2 linked regions of the Solanum lycopersicum genome follow. The protein of the gene in region 1 binds, or shares a complex with, the protein of each later gene. Links are inferred from orthologs where the notes say so. Each region holds a gene or a part of one and is shown in the gene's direction. Other genes may lie near its edges. The genes, in order: phosphoribulokinase, chloroplastic; calvin cycle protein CP12-1, chloroplastic.

Evidence for each region.
Region 2: the proteins of phosphoribulokinase, chloroplastic (region 1) and calvin cycle protein CP12-1, chloroplastic are in contact, whole or in part, in a crystal structure (PDB 6KEZ), measured with the Arabidopsis thaliana proteins. The link is inferred for Solanum lycopersicum from reciprocal best matches to the Arabidopsis thaliana genes PRK and CP12-2. Residues at the interface, in NP_174486.1 of Arabidopsis thaliana: Ser59, Lys63, Arg109, Arg112, Lys113, Gln115, Lys116, Thr118, Ala119, Tyr148, His150, Val151, Lys201, Arg204, Asp205, Ala207, Glu208, Arg209, Gly210, His211, Ser215, Ala218, Ser219, Ala222, Arg223; in NP_191800.1 of Arabidopsis thaliana: Asp62, Val64, Glu65, Ile68, Gly82, Val85, Ala86, Trp88, Asp89, Glu90, Val91, Glu92, Glu93, Leu94, Ser95, Ala96, Ala97, Ala98, Ser99, His100, Arg102, Asp103.

Annotation. Positions count from the first base shown.
Region 1 is NC_090807.1:62,387,657-62,395,941, forward strand, and holds the start of phosphoribulokinase, chloroplastic, read left to right. Parts: upstream 1-4,156; 5' UTR 4,157-4,505; coding exon 4,506-5,041; intron 5,042-7,496; coding exon 7,497-7,581; intron 7,582-7,718; coding exon 7,719-7,803; intron 7,804-8,027; coding exon 8,028-8,272; intron 8,273-8,285. Other genes in the region: secretory carrier-associated membrane protein 4, read left to right, coding at 229-277, 936-1,001, 1,633-1,665.
Region 2 is NC_090805.1:3,601,229-3,607,772, forward strand, and holds calvin cycle protein CP12-1, chloroplastic, read left to right. Parts: upstream 1-3,341; 5' UTR 3,342-3,411; coding exon 3,412-3,795; 3' UTR 3,796-3,962; downstream 3,963-6,544. Other genes in the region: pentatricopeptide repeat-containing protein At1g09220, mitochondrial, read right to left, coding at 1-332; bZIP transcription factor 53, read right to left, coding at 4,616-5,050. UniProt on the Arabidopsis thaliana protein: Acts as a linker essential in the assembly of a core complex of PRK/GAPDH. Coordinates the reversible inactivation of chloroplast enzymes GAPDH and PRK during darkness in photosynthetic tissues.

The DNA of each region.
Region 1 (8,285 bases):
ACCAGTTAAAGGTCTGGTTGTACTCTATAATGTTTTTAAATTAAATCTATGTATGATATGAGTCTTGAATGGTGAGAAATGCTCTTCATGAGCATGAATAAGAGCAATGAAATATTGATGCGGTTAAATGCGGTGATTTTTATCAAGGGTTTTCCACTTTCCCTTGGATTGTCATTGTTTTTTTATATTCTTCACTAATTATTGTGCTTCCTTTTTACTTCATTCCAGGGGTATCCTTGCAGCAATTGATGTCTTCTCTGACCATGTGCTGGTTGGGGTAAGTTGTTTAATTATTTGCTCTTATTTTAATGCGAGGAAAAAAAATAACAAATTCTTCGACACATCCCTTTGAAAACAATAAATTGAATGCCATTGTTTACTATGTTTAATTACAGTACTAATAGGGTGTACAAGTAATACTGGTACTAGTTGGACATAGATGAGATTTGCAACCAAACATTGTATTAAAATTTTATACCAGCATTATTCTACCTAATACACCCTACCAAATGACCATAATGCTTGATTGTAGATACTTCCCTTCCAAGTGAAAAACTCTCAGTTTCTCATTATTAGCAGATTGAATTTGATTTAACTTGTGCACTCAGCACTGTCTTTACTGTTTATTTGAACAAAAACTTAAATTTCATTTTATTTTTCTCATTTCATATTGCAGTTAGTTTGTTAACTGATTTAGCAGATCAAAAACATTTTTTGTAGAGTCATTTTCTTGAACAATAACTCAATTTCATTTGATATTCTGATTGCATATTGCAGCTAGTTTTTAAACTGAGTTACTGCATCAAAAGCTCTCTTAGATAATTGGAATTCCCAATAAAATTGAGAGTTAATGCTTATATTAGCTTATCAGGATGTTTGATCTTTTACCTTCTTAATATATATTCTTGTGTTGTCCTTTTCTTCTTTTTTTGCAGATATTTTATTTGATTGGATTTGGTTTCTTCTGCTTGGAAGTTTTGCTTAGCTTGTGGGTGCTGCAGGTGAGGTTTTTACTGTATTGCGATTCTTCATGTCAGGTTCATTAATAAATCAATTGTATGAAGATCAGCTGGGGCAATGCTCCACCTAGTGTTCTGGTATCTGCTGTTCCTCTTTTTAGAGTTTTGCTCATCTTTGCCTTGCGGCTTGAGCTTCATGTGTATGTGGCCTGAAACTGAAATCTATCAAGGGGAAAAAAGAAATCGTACATCAATTCATATTTAAGCTCTTGCTTGCTGTGTGAGGGGGGTAGTCTTTTTCGAGGAGGGTGGAGGAGAGGGGTATCGTCTGGTTTCTCTTAAATATCAAGAAAAATGCATCTCTAGTCCTTTTTGATGATTTGCCAGGTTTTCCTTTTATCACAGAAAGAAGGTAGACAATTTGCTAGGTTTTCACCCAGATATGGACATCCAAGTAGTTTTTGTTTTGGAGCATGTACATCTTTTGAACAGTAAATGTACTAACCGAAGAGTCGCTTTGTGGGGGGGAGAGAGTATCATTTAGGTAGGGCTATTCAGAACCTAAGGTTGAATTTAGTTGTGTTAGGTAATTATACTTTTTCTATGCCTGATAACAAACTGTTGTATACTACTAAAAATTTACTTTCATCTTGTAACGTTTATATCATTGCAGAAAGTGTACATGTATTTCCGAGGGCACAAGTGATGCACCTGTTTGGACGTAGCAACAAAACAATTCTTTTCCAGAGTAATGACTTGCGTGATATAGTTGCATGTTTTCTAGGTTTCAAAACATATTCGTTTCATTGTCATTTTTGTATGTAATCACAGTTTGACCTTTGATCATTAGACTACTACATTACTATAGTGCCTTCACTGGGATTCGTTTTTGAGTGATGGTGTCCACTAATAGTCATGTCCAATTGAGACTTGCAGAAACATAACAAGAGAATAACTACAAAAAAATAAAACCTAGTTAACATATATAAAGAAAGAGACTAACTACACTCTTATTATTTTTTTGCTACACTCCAAGCAAGTATTACATTGTGTAATATATGAAAACTATTGATTGGGCTCTCCTGAATACTACTGCAACCAGAAGCTTCAGGCATATAGTTTGCTGAATAAATGTATATTGGAGTAGCTGTATCGGACTAGATTTGGTTCGCACAAGAGCTGAATCTAGAATTTTCTTTTAAATTATATTATTAACCCATAGCTTAACAATTCTACACGTTGATTTCAGCTAAAACAAATTGTTGTTATTCGACCATAAATTCTCACTCTAAGAATCCTACCCCTAACTAATACTCCAATTTTCCATTTAATTCTATGGATTAAAGCAAGAAAATACTTGAGAAATTAGTAGAGTAAATAACTAATTTAAGGTTAGAAACTTATCCCACAAAAGAAACAAATCCAACACTTCTTAAAATAGATATAAATAATTCACGAATCATAGTAGCAAAATGATCTAAGCAAATAAATTAAAGGGAACGGAAGTTCAAATATTTTTGTTCATTTATTAGGATAGACTGTCTACATCACATTCTTTAAAGTACGATTCTTTTCTGAATCTCTGTTAACACGGGATGCTTTGTACACCAGATATGTTTGGAATCCTTAATCTTAACCAAATACGAAACTTGCTAAACTAGGACGTAACTAAGATCATCTAAATTTGGAATGATGAATATAATGAATTTAAAAATAAATACGTAATTAATTCTTGGAAATAGAAAATTCCTTTTCCCCCTTTTATTTTCTTATTTCATGAACTATTTTCTCTTTCTTTTTTAGTAGTAAAATTTCTTGTATTTTTTATCACACTAAAAAAGAACGTCAAAATTAAAGGATGGTTCTTTAATTAATGCTGCAGCATACTTAAATCAATTAACAAAAGTTTAGTTAGTTTGAATTACTTTATATCATACTTAAAGTTTTATTTGTTGTATTTAATGTTTTCTAATATACAAATAATAGTGTTTTAATTAATTAAATTTGAACTGAGAATGAACTCATACTAAATTGAGAGTAATAATAGTTGCAAATTGGAGTGCACATAATTTGATTTGGAAAAATATAGCACATTATATTAAATTAATTTTAGGCTAAATTTTTTCTTATTTGACGTCGCGATTAACTAGATTTATAGTATTGCCAAGTAATTTCCAATTAAGTAAAGCTATGAATACTTATTAGGAGCTAAGTTAAGCCTTATATCAAACTTTGTAATCCTCAACCAAAATACCTAAAATTTAAAAATCTCGAAATAACTTATTCATCGACCCGAACAACATTCCAAAGCAAAAAGTAGTATCCAAAATTGTTTGAATTATGGATTACACATTCTCTATCTTCTTTTATGCCATCATCCTTCTGCCACGTGTCCTATGAAATATCCAAACTGAAATAAATCACCACCAAACCTTTTCTCCATCCCTTTATCTATCACAAACATCATCTTCAATCCTTACTAACAGAATAATAAATAAATAAATTCAAGAAAAATAATAAATTTTCTTATTCAATAGTGTATGTGGAGTGTGGGGTAGTGGGGGGTAGTACAAAGTAAAATGACCATTATACCCCTAAACAAAAATTTAAAATCACAAACCATGTCCTCTTTATTCTTAGCCTTAAAATAATTATCTAAAATAGTTAAACCTAAATAGTCGTCCACCGCGCACAAACACTTAAACTAAAAGCAGTCGTTAGACGTATAATTCATGTATATCAGTGTATACCAGCTAGAAAAAAAAGAAGTAAAATAATGAATCATAAAACCTGCTGTCTAACGTATAATTCATGTATATCAGCGTATACCAACTAAAAATTTCCTAACTCGATTTTTCAAAAATGTTGACAGGTATGTGTTAAATTCTCAAAAATTAATATACTACTTTAAAGAGATTCAACACAAATACAACAACATGTATAAATATACTACAATTTATGCATGGTTAAAATTAACTTTTATGTGTATATAGTAAATGTGAACCTCCTTCGATTAGTTTGTATGTTTACCTTTTCAAATTTTACAATCCCATTATTAAAATTTTTGCTTCGTCACTGCATCACGATGTGATTCACTGAAAGTAAACTAACGAATCCTACTTGCTATATTTGCGTAAAACTCCATTGCTCTGACTCTTTGAATATACTTATAGATGTGTATTAGATTTTTCAAAATTAATATATTATTTTTAAAAGATCCGATCAATTATAAAAAAGCGGATTAATACTACCTCCAATGGTAGTCACAGAAATCCAAATCAACACACTTCACTATCCAAACAAAACAGCCATAACCATAGCCATTAACTTCTTACAAAAAAATTCTAAGCCTCACATATTTTTTTTCTCCAAAATATCCTAAAAACCAAAAAAAAAATTTAATTTTTTTTTAAAAAAAATGCCCATTCATTAATCTATCAGTAAGTCAGTGAGCACACAAAAATAAAAAATAAAAAAGCTTCCTCCATAATTCTATCTCAAAAACCTCTCAAGAAACAGAGAGATAGAGGGGCAAAAATAAAAAAAATGGCAGTTTGTACAGTGTACACTGCTCAATCACTGAATTCATCTTGTTCAATTTCAACTCCATCAAAACCCCACTTAAGATTTCACCAGAAACAAGTAATTTTCCTAACAAAAAGACCAAGGAAGATGACATGCTCTGCTTCCTCTGACGGTGAAAAAACAGTTGTAATCGGTCTAGCAGCTGATTCTGGTTGTGGTAAAAGTACATTTATGAGACGATTAACCAGCGTCTTTGGTGGCGCTGCTGAACCACCGAAAGGTGGAAATCCAGATTCAAACACATTGATATCAGACATGACTACTGTCATTTGTCTTGATGATTATCATTCACTTGACAGAACTGGTAGAAAAGAAAAAGGGGTAACTGCTCTTGATCCAAGAGCTAATGATTTTGATCTAATGTATGAACAAGTTAAAGCTATTAAAGATGGGGTTCCTGTTGATAAACCTATTTATAATCATGTTAGTGGTCTTCTTGATCCTCCTGAGGTTATTAAGCCTCCAAAGATTCTTGTCATTGAAGGATTACACCCCATGTAAGTCCCGTTTTAACTTATATGCACCGACAGTATCTCATAACTTTTACTCTTAATTTATGTTGAATTTTGAAATGTATAGATTTTTTTTATTTTTTTTTTATATATGTGGATTTTTAAAATATCATTATAGAATTTGAGTGAAAAGTTATTGAATTTTGTTAGAATGAGTTTTAAGAAAAACAAAAATATAGATTTTTTTTTTGAAATTTCTTATCTAAAATATGTGGGGTACATTTGTGTGGTTGTGAAATCATATCTTGGTAGGGGATAAAATGAAGTTTTAAAGCTAATTTTTTTTTTTGATATAATATAAGTTTTATTTTATTTAAAAGTAGACTAAAAATGGAAATGTGTTATATGGAATGAATAAAAAAAGATTACTGAACTTATTTTATGGGTTATTCTTCCACTTATTATATAAAAAAAATTATATAACTGTGAGTAATAGGCGGAGGTAGGAGTATACATGATCGGGTTGGTTTGGATTTTTCAAATATCAAATCAAATTATTTGTGTCGGGTTTTTAAATTTATAAACCAAATCAAATCAATAAAATTCAAAATTTTCAACTTCGGGTTTTTTTTTCGAGATTTTGAGTTTTTTCGATAATGAATTCGTAAAAACATATAATTTACTTGTATTTCAAATATTTATTTAATCCTATCAAAATGCAACTATCTAAGTTATTTCTCAAGAAAATAACAAAAAATATGATATAATTAATGACACTAAAATATAAAAAAAATAATAATAAAATCGCGTAAAACAAATATTGCAAATTAATAAGTCATAATGAAATTGATTATAATTTAAAGTACTAAATCATGCTAACATAAGTTTAGTAAGTATTAGTTACATGACTAAATATTAAAAGAAAGTAAAATTAGATCATGTATTTTAATTGTCTAAATCTATGTAAAACTAATAAACAAATATTCAATATTATTGTCATTTTTAGTGTTGAATTGATTTTTTTTTTTTGCATTAGTATTAATTTAATTTTTATTTAGACTTTATTATAATTACCAACATGTATAGACTATAATCTTATTACATTATTAAGAATTCTAACTTCCAAACATGAAATAATTTTATTAAAAGATAAAACTATTAAAAAATATAATTGATATTTAAAAAAATATATCAAAGTAAGTATTTTTAGGTATAAAATAAAATTTTTAAAATTATATATATAATGTCGGGTTGGTTTGGTCTCTGATTATTTTTTTTAATCAAAACCAAACCAACCCAAATATAATCGTGTTTTTTTTTCCAATACCAAACCAAGTCAAACCAAATCACTAGTCATTTTTTTTTTGGTTTGACTCGATTTGCAGTGTGATTCGATTTTCAGTTCGATTTTGTACACCCCTAGGCGGAGGCAATGTATAATCCCCTCAGCGAAAAATTATTACTATTCATACATGATTAAAATTATTTTCTAGATATATAATAGAAGTCGAACCCCCTCCCAATAGTTCATATGTTTACTTCTGAAATTTTGAAACCCTCATTAAAATTTTTGACTTTGCTACTTGCGGTGAGTATGTTATTAATAAATTTTTGAAGAAATGCAATGATGTTTTTCTAATGTTAAAACAAGACACATGCAAGAGAGGTGACACATTGAAAAGAAAACTTTGGTTTCTCCGTATATTTAGATTCTTTAATTTTTTTCTTGTCGTTTGTGTAACGAAATGTACTTTATAATTTACTTCCCTACAAAAGGGAAAAAAGAAAAAAATGAAAATGGTGCAGGGGATTCTCTTCTTTTGACATGTGTTACTTGGGATCTATAAGAATATTGACAAGTATGTGTCTTAGATTCTCTATCAATTATGATTCTTTTAGAGAATTTGATATAAATATAATAACATTTTTAAAAGATTCAAACAAAATCAGAATGTCCTCAAATGAAATAAATTTAATGAAAAATGTCTTCGATTAATAATTTGATCCAAAATATGGTACTTTATGACATTTTCCTTAAACTTAATTAGAATTTAGGTCTCCAAAGTAATATCTATTTCTGCTGCAAAAATTCGATAGAAAAATCAGTAGCAGCACTTTAAGCACCATATTAATAATGCAACTCTTGATGCACTTAGTTACGTGTATAAGAATAATGATGAATAAAATGTATTTACAGCCAAAATAGAGATGGGAGAAAAAAAAAATACGAATATCTAATGAGATAGAAGTTTCGAATATTGAGATTTGTAATGGACCGATCAATTATAATGTATTTTAGTGTGTTAAAAATAACATATATTGTATAGCTTTTTTTTTTTTTAAAAGTGAGTTTTAGAAATGTCCACGTACGTGCATTCTTTGACGTATACTTTTAGGGACTATTGCGTTTATTAATCATTCTAATGCATGTATTAATAATATTAGTATATCATAATGTAGTAAAATCTGATATTTATTTTTCATTTTCTATGGTATGAAGGTACGATGAGCGTGTGAGAGACCTCTTGGACTTCAGTATCTACTTGGATATCAGCAATGAGGTCAAGTTTGCTTGGAAGATCCAGGTAACTATCACTAAAATTTATCTATAACGACGCGTACAAGTGACCTGATTATGTAAATATCTTTTACATTGTTAATACATAGAACTTATGACTCGAACCAAATATGCATGATATCGGTTCTTTTTTGAAAAATGCAGAGGGATATGGCTGAAAGAGGACACAGCCTTGAGAGCATTAAGGCCAGTATTGAAGCTAGGAAACCAGATTTTGATGCTTACATTGGTGAACTACTTACCCTTGAAATAACAATTACCTCTGTTGCTCCACTTTTCATTTTAAAAAACCGCACGATGTGTGTCAGATCCTCCAAAAATGCATACTTTTGAAGGATCTAACATGATTGCGATAACATATTTGGAGAGTCTGAACAACACAAATAGTTAATATCATACATGATTGATGAATATGATTAGTTAAGTGGCAAAAAAATTGTTTTTTTGGTGCAGATCCACAAAAGCAATATGCAGATGCAGTCATTGAAGTGCTCCCAACTCAGCTAATCCCAGATGACAATGAAGGCAAAGTTTTGAGAGTGAGATTGATAATGAAGGAAGGAGTGAAGAACTTCAATCCAGTTTACCTGTTTGATGAAGGATCGACAATCTCATGGATTCCTTGTGGCAGGAAGTTGACTTGTTCTTACCCTGGCATCAAATTCACCTATGGCCCTGACACCTACTTTGGCAATGAGGTATAGGCTGCAT
Region 2 (6,544 bases), on another chromosome or scaffold:
AAACAATGAATCTGCTTCCCAATACAAAACTTTCCTAAATTAGCTGATCCTTTAATCAAGAATGAATATGTAAAGCTATCAAAAAAGATAATGGGGTGATACTGTAACCGCAATTGTTTGAACAGAAGAAAAGATTCTTGTGGGAAAATACCAAGAGAGTAATGCCGAATTAAAGAGTTCCATAGAGTTAATAAAATGGGTATTGAAGAAGTTGAGTTGAAGGTGTTTTCTGCAGTGGTGAATATTAACTGAGTATGAATTTGCTGAATTGGTTTGCGATGGTTTTGGTACTTTTTAACAAGACTAAGAAGATGATGAACATCTCTGCCCATCAAAGTTTCATTCTTTGAAGCATTAATGGACTAAATTTGAGAGCAGAAAAAAAGCTCTCAACTTTCGAGCTTCACTGTCTATGGCGAAACGCAATTCCAAGAAAATACTAGCAAGCAAGGTTGAAATTTTAGCTCATGACTTACAATTATTTAATCGAAAATAACACACTCATAAAATTTGATATGTATGGTTTAATAGCACAAAGTGTATTATATGTAATTTATTTTAACGAATATAACGTTTAAATATTGGATGTTTGTTTTTTTAGGTGAAAATTTTGTATAAAAAGTTTAATAAAATTTAAATAGGAAAAAGAGTCAGATATATCCATCAACTTTGATATTTAAAGTTAATATACTCCTCGTTATGAAATTGGTTCATATATGCCTTACCGTTGTACAAACGGCTCACATATACTCATGTTGTTATAAAATGACTCACATATATCCTTCATTTAACGGAAGTTAAAAGAATTAGTTTTAAATTTATATTTATTACTTTTTTTAAAAAAAAAATTGTTTAGGGGTATATATGATTCTTCTATCCAAGTTCAAGGTATGTTTTAATTTTTTTCATACATAAATTATTTTTTGACTTCTTTTATTATAATTATTTGAGTTTCTTATTCTTATTCTTATTTTTATCTTTCATTCCTTAGTTTAAAGAGAAAAAAATTAAACTATTTTTCTTGTCTATATTGTAGTTTGATTTTTATATTCGAAGAAAAAAATTTGGCCCATCTATAATAAGTTTTACAAGAATATTAGTGAAACATAAATAAATTTGATTATCAAAATAATAATTCTAAATTAGTCATTGAAACAAAAAAAAATAAAAAAAATATGTTTGACGAGGATTAAATTTACTCATATGGTATATTTTTTAGAAAAAAATAATAAAAAGTTAGATTATTGTTTTTTTCATGTCCGTTAGAGGAAAAGGATATATGTGAGTCATTTGTTTATAAGTAGAGGTATATATGAATCACTTTCATAACAAGGGTTATATCAGATCTAAATGACAAAGTTGAAGGGTATATCAAACCCTTTTCCCATTTGAATATAGGGAAACTTACATAAATATACTAAAATAAAAAAAATTATTTATAGCAATAATATTTTTTTAATTGATCACTTTTAATTCATTTATAATACAAGTTTAATACATATTACAAAGAACAATTTATTATTCACATATAATACAAGTTTTAATGATGGATAATACATTTACCACAAATTTTGATACACTTATAATATAATGTGACACATTTTTACCAAACAAACATAATATATTTCAAAAAATAATTAATAATTCATGTATATTGCATACATAATTCACTCTTCATATATATTACATATTTAACATAGTATTGTTATAAATGGTAATAAATTGAAAATTTCACTAAAATCGATAATTATTTATTAGAATATACTAATTCATGTAATTTTTCGTTGAATTATAACAGTAAAGATATTTTAAACAAGGAAAAAGGGTCAAATATGCCCCTAGACTATTCGAAAAGGTCTAGACATATCCTTTGTTTAAAGTTTGACTCACTCATGCCCTCTCCGTCCAACTTTTGGTTCAAATATGCCCTTATGAGCGTTAGTTGTCATGTTGGACAAATTCAACTTATTTTTTCATTTCTTTAAATGTTACATGAAATTGTCATGTCATTTTGACCTTACCACATGACATTTATATAAAAATGAAAAATATCCGAACTCATAAACACCTAATCCGACACATAAATCAACTCCTTTTAAATTCACTATCCGACTCATTTTTAGTAATTTTGTTTAATTTTTATTTTTTCGATAAATCACGAAAATGAGTAATTGATTAATAAAAAATAGGAAAAATATGAAAAATATATAAAATTGACGCCAAAATTTCATAAATAAATATAGTAACCTTAAATCTGACATTTAAATATTTTTTTAATTTTTTTATTTTTCGGTAAATCTCGAAAATGAGTAATTGATTAATAAAAAATATGAAAAAAATATAAATTAACGCCAAAAGTTTACAAATAAATATAGTAACATTTTATTATACATTTTTTTTAAATTTTTTTATATTTTTCGGCAAATCCCGAAATGAGTAATTTATTAATAAAAAGGGAAAAATATGAAAACAAAATAAAAAATTTACGTTAAAATTCACAAATAAATATAGTAACCTTAAATTCAATAATTTCAACAAATTTTTTATTTCATATATTTCTATTTTTTATTTCTGATTTTTTTGCGTAATTTTTATATTTTTTCATATTTTTTTGTTAATGAACTCATTTTTGGGATTTTCTGAAAAAATTAAAAAATATTGAAATTGTTGAATTAAAGGTTATTGTTTTCATTTTTTTATTTTTGGCGTTAATTTTTTATTTTTTATCAATCAATTACTCATTTGGGATTTATCGAAAAAAATAATTTTTTTTAAAAAATGTTTGAATTGAATTTAAGGTTATTATATTTATTTGTGAATTTCTGGCGTTAATTTTATATTTTTTCCATATTTTTTTTATCCTTTACTAATCAATTCCTCATTTTTCGGAATTTATCGAAAAAATAAAAATTAAACAAAATTATTAAAAATTGATCGGATAGTGAATTTAAAAAGAGTTGATTTTTGGGTTTGATTAGGTGTTTATGAGTCCGAATATGTCATGTGGTAAGGTCAAAATGACATGACAATTCAATGTGACATTTAAAGAAATAAAAAATGAGTTGGATATGTCCAACATGAAACTAACGACTATAAAAGTATATTTAGACCAAAAGTTGAACGACAGATGAGTGAACTAAACTTTAAACGGAGGGGTATATCTACACATTTTTAAATAGTTTGGAGATTCAAATAGTTCAGATACATATCTAACTCTTTTTCCTTTTAACAATAAAATATCTTTGGACGTCATCTTGACGACGTGGATGTTAACCATTGGCCAACAAAGTGATAAGAAATGTGTGCTCATTACTCATTTCATCTCAATGATAATATATACCCATCCTAAAAAGAAAGAAAATAAAAAAATATCTTCTTCTTCTTCTTCACCCTAACACAGAGCAAATAAAAATGGCGTCCATAGCCGGTGTTAGTATAACAATCCCAACAATTTCATCCGATTCACCCAAAATTCAGCCCTTGAAATTGCAAACCCTAAACAGCCCATGGAAGAAATCAAGTCAATTGGGTTACAGGAGGATGATGTATGTAGTGGTACCCAGAGTAGTTCCGGATAAGAAGCTATCTGATTTAGTTGCGGAAAGTGTTAAAGAAGCTGAAGAAACTTGTGCGGAGGATCCGGTGAGCGGCGAGTGTAAGGCGGCATGGGATGTGGTGGAAGAGACGAGTGCAGCAGCGAGCCATGCGAGGGATAAGAAGAAGGAATCAGATGTACTGGAGAATTATTGCAAGGATAATCCAGAAACTGATGAATGCCGCACTTACGATAATTAATTATGATGATGATTAGTAGCAGCTACTCATGTCATGTCTTGTGTTCTTTTCAAATGGTAATCTGTTTTATCAAAACTTAAATCTTCTCTTATGTTATGTATGGTATGGTGTTTAATTATACATACTGTTACCATGAATTCCAATTTATGTGATATAGTTTGAACGAACGAATTGAAAATGATAAAGTTAGATCAGAGCAGAAATATAACCAGAGAGCTTTAGTTTAAACAATTGTTCTCTGCTAGTAATGCTACTTTCAATTTTCAGTTTACATGAATAAATAAAGCATCTTTTACAACAACAAAAAAGAAGAAAACCCAATGATCAATAATCATGTTATCTGAATCAGCTTATACAGTATTTAATTTTACGAGTACCTGCTATCTCCCATCAATCAAATAACCATCCACGAAGACGACAGATGGGAAGACATATCACTAGTTAAACTCTTGCAAGTCAAATGACAGAAAAAAGAGTTCAAACTCTTTGCCCTATAAAAGCATTGACATCCAATGATCAAAATAATTAGAATGGAAAAAATAGGATAAACAAGTCCACAATATCAACACACAGCAATTTTTTCATAGAAATGAGAAGGGCCATCTCATTCATAGTACTCCAAAAGATGCATATATAACATCCACAGACTAAATAAAGTCGAACAAATACTAAAAACAACAAACTAGATATTCAGATATCGATAATAGGCCAAAACCAACCATTACTATTCAGAAACAAAAGCTACATTGCTAATATCAAACTAGATACTTAATACGCTTAATCTCTATTCCATTCTTGTAAATCATCACACCAGCAGAGCTCAAAACTGGAACATATCAGAAGCAGTGATAGGTTGAATCGGGCAAGGCAGTTGCCATGGCTCCAGCAAAGTGTCGGGAATTTCAGGAATGTCCACAGGAAATCCAGTAGTATCAGCCCAAAATTGGGTGAGTGAGTTCAGTGAATTCAACCGTTCAGTCAATTCTGCAAGCTGAGCCCTCAACACGTTGTTCTCTGCATCAATGGAACGATAGTTCATTTCAACAGAAGCAATCTTATCACGGCAGATACTGTTCTGGTTCTGCAGCTGTGTTGTTTCGCTACTTAACTCCTCCAAACGCTGCTGCTTCTTCATCCGTGACCTCTTGGCCGACTCACGGTTGGATTCCATTCTCTTCCTTTTCCTTTCGTCGAACTTTGCATACCTCTGGTCTGCATCTGAACCAGAACTCACCAAGTGCGGAGTCGAAGACATGTCTCTCAGGCAGATTGGATGAATGATTTAAAAAATGGAATAACAGGGAACTATGTATAATTTGTTAAAGCACCAAACTTTTGATAGTGTGGCTATGGAATTTGTAAATTAAACTGGAACAAGAAAATGATGAGGGCTCTAGTTCATGAAAACACGTAGAACCAGTAAAGAAAGACTACTGAGAAAGAATGCAGAATCCGAACTCGTCGCACGCGAATAGAGAATGACATGAAGAAATTTTGAAACTAAGAATCAAACATTGGAACTTTGTAAGAGACCCCAACCAGTCTTCAAAGAAACCAAATAATTTCCTGAGTAGAATATCCAAAATCCAAACAGCAAATGAAAGTATTCACAAAAATGATCTGCAATCAAACACAACAGACTATATTAGAGAACATCTCAGAAACGCGATCAAAAGGCCAAAACAAAATTCAACCACAAAACCACAATAACATACGTTCTGCTACTCAACAAAATTCTAACCATTAAAGATGTCTCAACTTAAATTTTCAAATACAACAAAAATAACAACCACATCAACAACATACAAGTGTAATTCCACAAGTGGGATCTAGGGAGGGTAGTGTGTACTGTGTACAGACCATACACAAAATCCTTCGAATCTTTCAACAAGATTAAAAACTAACTTCCAAATCCTTTTGGATTTTTGAAAGATTTGGAAATTTGAGTTTGAAGATGTTCTATAAAGAGTTCTTTTTTTTTTGCTGAAAGAGCTCAACCAAATTACTGTTTTTGCAAACCCTAAAACAAATGTCACTAGATTAAGGCTCACCAAATCAATTGATATCAGATGATTTACCTACTCAATAAAGTTCATTTTGATTCTAATCCCATAAAAGGGGGTAAGGTTCTGAAGTTCAAATCTTTTTTCTCTTTCTCAGTTAAAAAAGTTCATATCTTTATAGGCATGAGTAGATCCATCTACTCTTTACCATCAACACAAATTGGAAAATCATCAAACAAGGCAAACAGAAGAACTTTCTAATTCCTATATAAAGGGGTAAAAGTACTAATGTTCAATTTTTTTTCTCTTTCTCAGATAAAAAAGTTCAAGACTTTATAGGCACAAGATCCATCTTCTCTTTACCATGAACACAAATTGGACAATCATCAAACAAAACAAACAGAAGGACTTTCTAACCCCTATTTAAAGGAGTAAAAGTAATAAAGTTCAAATCTTTTTTCCTTCCTCAGATAAAAAAGGTTCAAATCATAAGATCCCTCTTCTCTTTACCATCAACACAAACTGGAAGATCATCAAACAAAACAAACAAAAAACTTTCTAATCCCTATACAAAGGGGTAAAAGTACTAAAGTCCAAATCTTTTTTCTTTTCTCAGTTTAAATAGTTCAAATCTTTGTAGGCATAAGATCCATCTTCTCTTTACCATCAACACAAATTGGACAATCATCAAACAAAACAAACAAAAGGACTTTCTAACCCCTATTTAAAGGAGTAAAAGTACTAAA